Arabidopsis thaliana: one gene and its partner. The protein of the gene in region 1 interacts with the protein of each later gene in a pairwise test. Each region holds a gene or a part of one and is shown on either strand. Other genes may lie near its edges.

The links. The genes of interacting proteins can lie anywhere in the genome.
Region 2: the proteins of BBX9 (region 1) and NF-YC8 interact in binary tests that used the Arabidopsis thaliana proteins (3 or more experiments, as listed by UniProt).

What each region holds. Positions count from the first base shown.
Region 1 is NC_003075.7:8,707,664-8,714,859, forward strand, and holds BBX9 (B-box type zinc finger protein with CCT domain-containing protein), read right to left. Parts: upstream 3,864-7,196; 5' UTR 3,822-3,863; exon of another isoform or gene 3,817-3,821; intron 3,514-3,816; 5' UTR 3,444-3,513; coding exon 2,955-3,443; intron 2,869-2,954; coding exon 2,486-2,868; intron 2,400-2,485; coding exon 2,279-2,399; 3' UTR 2,104-2,278; downstream 1-2,103. Other genes in the region: BBX30 (B-box type zinc finger family protein), read left to right, coding at 1,218-1,571; AT4G15260 (UDP-Glycosyltransferase superfamily protein), read left to right, coding at 6,402-7,196.
Region 2 is NC_003076.8:9,940,072-9,943,387, forward strand, and holds NF-YC8 (nuclear factor Y, subunit C8), read right to left. Parts: upstream 1,377-3,316; 5' UTR 1,229-1,376; coding exon 665-1,228; 3' UTR 598-664; downstream 1-597. Other genes in the region: AT5G27920 (F-box family protein), read right to left, coding at 1,992-2,237, 2,325-2,619, 2,702-2,831, 2,928-3,316. UniProt on the Arabidopsis thaliana protein: Stimulates the transcription of various genes by recognizing and binding to a CCAAT motif in promoters.

The sequences.
Region 1 (7,196 bases):
TATGTTAAAGCGGTTCGTAGCTAGTTCACAACAAACTTTTTAAGAAAAAAATCTCTGCTTACAATACACAATTTATAAATAGTAAATAAAAATTCAGCTCAGTCTACAAAGAGATTTGACGGCATTAACCGCTGCAACCATTAGGGGATATTCAACTTTGACAGTTTCGGAGGATGTACGTCTCCTAGAAAATAAGAAATTAATTATTTTAATCGTTAAAAGAAATTACTTTAATCATGAACCATGCAAGTGAAGTTCCTTTTTTTTTCCTTTTGCGAGCAAACTCGTAATAAAATATAAAGTTAAAATAGTTAACCACCACACACACAATGACACGAAGACACCCAATAACGTAGAGACTGTCCCGACCCGATATTCAATATATTTCTGAATGCTCACATAGTCACATAATCTTTAATAATTGTAATCAGTGGGACATTGATTCTCTAACCACTTCTTCGGCGATGAATTTTTCTAGACTAAACGAGTAACTAGTTAATAGTAAAATTTAGAGTAATTGGCTGCACTGCACCCATGGCCATCATGAGTCACCTAAATTACATTAAATTGAATGTATCTCTCTTTCTTCATCTTCTTCAACGCTTCATTCCACACTCGTAGATTTTCTTGACTCTTGTATCAATTCAGATTAAGAAAAAGGTACATTTCTTTGGTAGATGTTATGACTGCTCATAAATTTATAAAAACGAACAGAAATAGTTTTAAAAAAAAAAGAAATATTATAATCTAAGTGAAAACATGATTGAAAACAAATGATAGTATGTTACACAATTTCTCGTTCATATATTATCTTTTTAAAACAAACCAAAAACTTGCACAGTAGTTTAATGAATAATCACTAATAAATTCATATACTATTATTATATACTCCCTTTTTATAGACCACAAAAATGCTATGATTCATGATTCATTCTAGAACGTGATTGTGATATGTGACAATGAGCGAGTCATACTAGTCAACTACTCGAAACTTGTGTATCAAACATGAGGACGAGAGATCGTCTGGTGGAGGGAAAATAACTAAATTATTGACAATTTGGTCCTCTAGGGACACTCACATCAAACCAATAGGTCAATATTTTTCCACGTGTACAACCAGTTTAATGACAATTTCATAATATCCATTTGCTTTAAATAACAATCATTCCTATATAAACCTAAATCTTGAACACAAGAGAGACAAAGAAAGAGTAAAGATGTGTAGAGGGTTTGAGAAAGAAGAAGAGAGAAGAAGCGACAATGGAGGATGCCAAAGACTATGCACGGAGAGTCACAAAGCTCCGGTAAGCTGTGAGCTTTGCGGCGAGAACGCCACCGTGTATTGTGAGGCAGACGCAGCTTTCCTTTGTAGGAAATGCGATCGATGGGTCCATTCTGCTAATTTTCTAGCTCGGAGACATCTCCGGCGCGTGATCTGCACGACCTGTCGGAAGCTAACTCGTCGATGTCTTGTCGGTGATAATTTTAATGTTGTTTTACCGGAGATAAGGATGATAGCAAGGATTGAAGAACATAGTAGTGATCACAAAATTCCCTTTGTGTTTCTCTGATTTTATGTTTTGTTTTTCGCGTAATTAAGATTAAATATTGGTAGGGTTTTTTCTCTGGAAATGTTCTAAGAATGTATATTTTCATTCTAAAGCTTAAAAGTAATATATGAACACCTAGAAAACATATTGATTTAATAGTAAAATAATGCGGTCCCAATAGTAAGCTATAAGAAATCAAGAACAAATCTTCCTATGGCAAACATAATCTGCCTTTATTCTTTGGCTTTATTTTTCTTAACTAGGAAAACAATACAACGTTACAAATTACAATCAAGTGAAATGGAAGGTGGAGAGTGGTCCAAAACACAAAGAAGATATATTTTTCTATGATTAACATGTAATTGAGATTAAGGAGCTATAAGTAGGAAAGAGTCAACGACTCTTGTTTTGTTTTTTGGTTTCTGATTTTGTCTGATCGTCTCGTAGCTGTATGCCTAATTAATGCCTGTATGACCGGTAGGTTTTGTGGTTGCATCAAAAAACAGTGGAAATTCTCTAGTAAAAAGAGCAACTTTCAGTTTTTTTTTTTTTTAATCTCCATTTTGGAATCACCTTTGCGATGATTTTAAGTCTTTGTAGTTTGATCTTGTATACTTTCTCAAGAAGAGAATTTTATGTTTTTTTTTTGTTACTTCTCCGACAAGAAACTGTTAATCCCGTGGATGGAGTCAGATTATTCTTTAGTTCCGCAGTGAAGATTCACTAGTTCACATCACCAGTGACGGATCATACTCAAAAGTTTCTCCAGATTTTACAAATCTCCCTTTGACCCGTTTTCTCGTATCAGCTCTGGCTTTGCGTGATGCATATCTTATTTGCTTCCCAAACCTAGAAGAAATTGGTACCACAAATATCAATGAGATTATGTTTTAAAAGCATGATAATGACTCTGATTATGTGTCTCAAAAACTTACATGCGCTTTGATTTCTTTTGTTTGTATCTCTTTTTAGCCTCATCCCTTAATTTTGGATTAAAACTAACTTCAACATTCGATTCCCATGGCGAATCTCCTATGAGAAACCCTGGTGAAATTCCGCAATCTTGGTAATCAGTCGCATTGCTTTCTCCTGTGAGGTTAGACATCGAAAGTGACATGTTCGGTACAACGTTCCCGGATAAAGTAGGAAGCAGTAATGAAGGAAGGCCAATGTTATTCTCTTCCTTAAAAGAATCCTCGTACTCGTAACATTTGGTATTGTCAAGTGATGAACATCCGATTATATCATTGCTTGCGTTGAAATTCAACGGCGCATCATCTAAGTTTATCCCTTCGCATAGATCCAAACCAGAACATTCCTGCATATAGAACGGAATATAAATGAAAAACATTCTTCTTTATCATAAATGAAACATTTTGATATATTACTTAAACAACACGTCACCTCTTCTATCACTTTTGGAAGATTAGATTCCATAGGAAAGAAAGAAGAATAGTCTTTAAGGTTCTGAGTTTGTGTAACCACGGAAGTTGATGAACCATTCCAATCGTCTAATTCCTGGAGCAGGGTATCAGAAAATGGAGAGACCAAACTTGTGACAGAAGGTTCTAAAGTTGAAGACCAGATCTTGCCGAAATCTGATGGAGAAGGACAATCAGAGTAAGGGTTCAGACTCTGAAGTCTGTGTCCTAAACCAGTGCAGTTACTAGCGGTCCACTGACATCCTTGGCAAAGAGAAACATTTTCGTTCATACAGTGTACTGCCGTGGGTTGTAAGGAACATTTCTCGCAGAGTAGAGATCGCGTGTGTCTTTGAGACAGAGGATTCGCTGAGTGTACATTAACGTCACAGTTTAAACAAAGTTTAGCCGAATCAGATTTGCAGTAGATTAATGCTTTTTCGGTTCCACAAAAGTCACATCGAGCCTCCATACTTCTTCGAAGACAAAACTCCAAAGAAATAACGATTTCTCAATCCCAATCGCTACACACACCTAAAATCCTATAGCATAGAAGGATCGTGAGACAAAAACAGAACATTCAGAGATCAAACAAAATTACGATTCATTATAGGTTCATGTATCTTTTTAATGTGTGACTGTGACTGTGACTAATACATGGTTGTGTTTGAATGTTAGAGAAACACTCACAAACTAAGAAAATGTGGATTCTCGAGACCGAATCAGTACTAAAATCACAATGTCTAGAAACTCATAACCAGTTAATTACAGAGTTTTTTCTAAACAAGAGTATAACAATAATCGTGTAAAATTGTTTATGTTTCAGGGTTCCAGAGATTAGAAGCTTTACAAGGGTGTGTGAGAGTCCAGTGAGAAGGAGATGAGAAAGAACAGAGAAGAAAAGGTTTTGCTCTGTTTTTATCCTGTGTGGGGTCCACCTTGTTAAGCGGGTTTGCCACGCGGGGTATCTTTTGTCACGTGTGGTTTTATTGTTCCTTAGATTTTGTTGATGTCATAATGTGGTTGACCATACAATTCGGAGTTTTTGTTTGATTCTTTAGGTACTTTCTGTGGCTCGCAAGAATTTCGAGAATTGTTAATAAAAAAACGTGTAAATGTCATTAATTTTGAACACGTTTTTCTTGTTATTCAAAACATCCGAGTAATAAGACTAGTTCGAAGCAATTTATTCCGAGTGTTGGTTTAATGGATCTAGGAGTTTGCAGCATACTAGTCCGGTTTCATTAACCTGTGGTTATGGATAGTTATTGTATCTATTTCTCACTAATTTTACTAAGTGTGTTTTCACAACTTAAAATATGAGATGTTAGAAGCACTTAAATGATTGAAATTCTAGTGAGCGATCATGTTTTAAGAGAGAAAACTTTGTGACAACGATTGATATTCGTTTACGATTTTTTACCAGCCTCAGTAAAAAGGCTAAATGTACTATTTTTGAAACATCTCCCAATGCATTCCATGCCAAAAAAGGCTAAATGTACTTGTAAACAATTCAACAGACAGTAACTGCTGGCATTAGCTGAAAAGGTCGCTCATGGCATGACCAGTCTGGTTGTCATTGTTTGTTTGCCAAAAGATTTCATTAGATGTCCAAAAAGCAGCTCATTCGACCAAACAATTGTTTCCTGATAAGTCAATTGTTTTGTTAATCAATTCTATAGGAACGCTAAATCCATTATTCGTCCAAAAATCAGCTCATAGTTTTCAATTGTTTTGTTAACCACTTATTTTGCAAAAGTAGTGAAGAAAACATAACATTTAAACACACCAATTGTTTTCATAAAGCCCTTCCACCAACTGAAAATCAAAGAATAACTAGCTAATCTCTTCCGGTATTAAAAAAGAGGAAAAACAAAACCAATTGATATAATGTGCGAGGCATTTCCAGGATCAAAAGGCATGGAAAAAAGCAAAAAGATCAGGATATACCACAACCAATATAGCGTCACAAGCCATTATACCTGAAGGAACTGTTTTTATCCTTCAGAATTGGTAATGGACGCCAATACAAAAACAAAAAACACTAAAACTCTTTCTTCAATAGGGCAAAATTTTTGATAAAAAATGCTCAGTGGAAGGAGAAGTCGTTTTAAAGGAGAGCTCACGGTAAACCCACTGCTCTTCTCACACTCTTCGTGCTTTCATCTCATCATTGCATCATCATCATCAAACCCATAACAGTAATCCAACAAAACAAAACAAAAAACATTGAAAGAACAAATAAGCTTCAGTGTGTGTAACAAATTCAGTTCATTGATTCAAAAACCTCACTGAAATCCGCTAAGATAATTGTTTTTATCATCATCAGCTTTATAACCCAAAACAAGTACATACAAACATCAATCAAACCTATTAACAATAATCCAACTAAACAAAAGCCAAACATTAAAAAAAAAAAAAAGCCTCAGTGTGTGTAACAAATTCAGATCATTGATTGAAAAACCTCACTGAAATCCGCTAAGATAATTGTTTTCTATCATCATAAGCTTATAAGTGGAAAAACATCAACCAACAAAAAAAAACAATAACAGAGAAATTTGTCTTCAAACCAATCAAAAGATAAGATTTTGGGTGAAAGGGGAATTAATACTCAGACAGCCAAGGGTTAATCTTCAACTTCTGGGAGAAGAATCCCAGATCTGAAACTCTAGTCCACAATACTCTTGTATCATCACCATATTCAACCCCTTCCACATCCCATAAAACTAAGACATCACAAATCTCTTTCACAAAAACCTTAAATATCACCAATTTCAACATATATACACAAACGAAAATAGTCACAGACCTAACCCTAAAATCACCTAACATATCATTCAGACATGAAAAGAAAGAGAGTTCCTATGATTTGCATTAGACGAAACCTTATAAATACACAGACACAGCAGACAATTAGGGTTTACTTCGGTCGGCGGCTACCATATCTATTTTAGGTTCTCGGCCCAATTATACTAAATGGGCCAGCTTTCGTGACCCAACAAACAACTTACATTTATTTTACTTTATTAACACATTCACTTTACAAACCCAATCAACGAAAAGTCCAAAAACGTAAAAACAGAAATGAAGAAGATTGAGCTCGTGTTCATACCTTCGCCGGGAATCGGCCATCTCCGGCCAACCGTGAAGCTAGCAAAGCAACTCATCGGAAGCGAAGAACATTTTTTCAATCACCGTAATCATCATCCCTTCTAGAAACGACGCCGGTGATGCAACCGCCTATATCGCATCCCTCGTTGCAGAGTCTCAAGATCGCCTCCGCTACGAACCCATCTCCGTCGAAAAACAACCACCAACCGCAAATCTTGAGCCGTCTCAAGTCTACATCGAGAAACAAAAACCACAAGTGAGAGACACCGTCTCCAGAATCATCAATCCAACAAGAAAACTCGCCGGATTCGTGGTGGACATGTTCTGTTCTTCAATGATCGATATAGCTAACGAATTTGGAGTTCCTTGTTATATGATCTACACATCAAACGCTACGTTTTTGGGAATCACACTTCACGTTCAAGAAATGTACGACGACAAAAAGTATGACGTCAGCGATTTGGATGAGTCAGTCAACGAATTGGAGTTTCCTTGTTTGACTCGTCCTTATCCAGTGAAGTGCCTTCCTCATATCCTTAGTTCAAAAGATTGGTTACCTTTTTTTGCAGCTCAAGGTAGGTCTTTCCGGAAGATGAAAGGTATTTTGGTAAATACAGTTGCTGAGCTTGAGCCTCACGCTTTGAAGATGTTTAACAATGTTGATCTTCCTCAAGCTTATCCTGTTGGACCAGTGTTGCATCTTGATAACGGCGATGACGACGATGAAAAGAGATTGGAGGTTTTGCGGTGGCTTGATGATCAACCGCCTAAATCTGTTTTGTTTCTCTGTTTTGGAAGTATGGGAGGTTTCACTGAGGAACAAACTAGAGAGGTAGCTGTGGCGTTAAACCGAAGTGGTCACCGGTTTCTTTGGTCTCTCCGTCGTGCATCGCCGAATATAATGATGGAACGTCCCGGAGATTATAAGAATCTTGAGGAGGTTTTACCGGACGGGTTCTTGGAACGGACTTTGGATAGAGGGAAAGTGATTGGATGGGCTCCACAAGTGGCGGTGTTAGAGAAGCCGGCGATAGGAGGGTTTGTTACTCATTGTGGGTGGAACTCTATGTTAGAGAGCTTGTGGTTTGGTGTTCCGATGGTGACGTGGCCGCTT
Region 2 (3,316 bases), on another chromosome or scaffold:
ACTTAGATCTGGACACAAACGGTGAGAACCCTATGCAGGATACTTATGTAAGTATACATGGGAAGACATAGAAGAAGATAGAGATAGAGGGGAAAAAGAACCAAACTTTAGATCTGGCCACAATCGTTAATTTCTATGCAATTGAAGTATAAAGAGGAAGAAATAGAAGAAGATCGGCAATAAATAAACGAAAATCAATGGCTTACCTTACCAGATTCGTCGGCAAGGGGAGGATCAGAAATTAATACTTGGATTGCTAACGGCGACAAGAACGAGAAGAAGGTTTCAAGGAGACAATCAAGTTCTGGGCTTGATTGAAGAAGATGAGAGTAACCGACGGTGAACGCAATCGCCAACGACGGCGCTAGATTTTGGGAGGATATTTTGCGGTGTGAAGAAAAAACAAGATTTTTATTTTCTCATATATTACTTTTGGTGCGAGAGAATGAATATAATGTTAGCTTCTGAATATTTCAAATTTCAAACCGAGAATCATCACGCTCCCAAATAGTGTATTGTCCCCTCAATGTCTAAGGTTATACATGTAATAATACATGTGTTTCCGACAGAACATTGTATCTCATGGCTATTTCTTTAAAAAAATTAGATCCATGACTATTTACTACATATTCCCTTGAAAATACCCTAAAACGTATTCCACTTATTAGTTTCCGTCGTCACCTCCTTTTTTCCCACGCGCTTCTTCCTCCTCACCAGACACCGAGGTCCAAGCTCCAGGCCATGCCTGCATTTGTGGTTGTGGTTGGTGGATTCCAAGACTACAACAAACAGGAGTTCCAATTACCATTCCTGGAGGCAGCTCTCCATCGTCAATAGGTGGCATGGCCACAGGATCAGCAGCGGCGGCAACAGACTCTCTCTTTACCTCAATGTCATCATCAAGCAAGAAATCAAAGATAACAGTTTGAGCCACTGCGGCATCGACATTAGATTTCTGTAGCGTGACTCGTTTGCTTTCCTGAGCATGGAGCCACGAACGCATCGTGAGATCCATGATAAACATCTCACATGCTTTCGAGAGGAGGATTGGAGCCTCACTAGCTATCATAGTCACATCCGGATCATACTTCATAATCTTCTTGATACGAGTTATAGGAAGGTCGTGATTTTTGAAATCTAAGTTACCTTCCATCTCTTTTGACCAGAAACTCTTCAGTTGCTCGTTACCTTTCGGTGGCAGCTGGTTGTTGCCGTTGTTGTTCTCCATAAGATTTTTTTCTTTTTTGAAGTTTCTAGTGTTCTAGGCTTGTTATTTTTTTATTTGAAGATTTGCATATATAAAGGAAAAGCTTAAGCATAGATTAGATATGGTGGGATAGTAAGCAGGTAAACTTTTACAACAATGAATCTTAACGCATTTAGTATATTGTTAAGAATATTTAATGATATTAACATTATTTGTTTGACTAACATTATTTGGTTATTATTATAAGAAGAAAAAAGAAAGTGATTTATTTTTACTTAAAGTGTATATATTATACCAATTAATAGTGTTAGAAAAAAGAAATAAAGTAAATACAAAACTATATTTTCTCTATAAAATTGCAAGATAATTTTTTGCTGTACAAAACTTATTTTGAATTATTTAGTTAAAAAATATGTTTTCAAATGTTAAATGTGAAAGCATAATTCATATCATTGCTCGAACACAAAGGAGTTACATGTTGCATCTGATTGGTTTAGCTTTCTGTTAGACTTCAAAAACATATGATCATCAGTTCATCACATAGATCTATTACACATCAACAACTTTCTAACTAGAAATCATTACTTAAGCGTTGTCCGATCTTTTTTACCGGTTATAGCAAAATATTTTACCGCAGCAATTCACTTAAACCGATTCATTTATATGGATCCAAAACAAACCGCTACTAAAGTTTCACTGATTTTTAACATTGAGATTATAAACATCAAAAACCTACAACAGTATAAACTAACCAACACAAGAAACCGCGTTGTTCTTTATGTTTTCAGTCCCATCTAATGCGGCAACCACGAGCATGAAGCGTCTCGAGCAATTCCGATGAGAGCAAGAATCTGAGAGGTGCGAGAAGTTTAAGCTTCTTGAGCCTATTGCAACAGGCTCTTAGAGCAAACTCAAACCCTTCTACAGTCACACGGCTCAGATGAACTAAGTCAACGTCTTGAACCCGACTCAGATTGCTCATCAACATGCATAGAGCCGTATCAGACACCGAGCAATTGCACAAGTTTATCTGCCAAACAAAACACACAACACAAGAATCAAACATGTTTCCAATAGATGCTTCCAGATCTCCATCTATAAATGTTATTTTTTGTACCTGTCGTAGGTTTTTCGAGAAGTAAGCGAGCGCCCAAAAACCCGAATCATCAATATTCTCGCAGAGTTTAACGTCCAAGTAACCCAATTTCTTGCAGCCGGACGCAATGGCTGCTAAACCAACACCGGTTATATTCTTTAGCCCTCGAAGTTCGAGGTGACTTAGAAGTTCTAGCTGCCGGATTTGTTCAACCCCGGTGTCAGTTAGTTCACAGCAGTATGATAGAATGAGTCGGTTCAAGCTCTTGCAACCTCGAGATAAAGCTGCTAAACCATCATCTCCAAAACCGGCACAGCTGCACTCAAAAACCAGAAATCAGTAAGAAAACGAAACATGTCTTGCACATTTTTCATCAAGAATCCACCAAGAAAGTGTACCGGTATAGATCAAGTTCTAGAAGCTTCGAACATTTGGAACCAATATGGAAAATCCCTTTGTCTGAGATATTTGTGCAGAGTCCAAGTTTCAATCTTTGAAGATTCGAACACTTCGAGATATATTCTAGCCCTGCGGTCCCAACGGAACAAAAAACCGTAAGATACCAAAGATGACAATATCTAAAACACAAACGGAGGTTTGAGTTCACATATATCTTTCTATTACCTCTGTCATTTACACCATAACAGTCAGTAAGATCAAGTTCTTGAACAAGCATGGAGTAACATCCAAGCGATTGAAGACCTTTCTCAGTTATCAAATGACAAGACTCTAACTTTAAAGTCCCTAGATTCCGGCAAGACTGAGCTACAGCAGAGATGGCTACATCCGTCACGAATCCGCAACACGCCAGATTTAATGTTTTCAGGTTTAAGCAGTTGCGTGCAAGACTTATCATCCCAATATCCGTCACATCAACACATCTGCTCAGTCCAATCTCCATTAAAGATCTACAGCTAGAGCTTAAACTTACAAGAGAGGAATCAGAAACATGAGCTCCATCAATCCATATAGTCTTGAGATGCTTCAAACCTTTGATGTACTTTAAGAAGCTA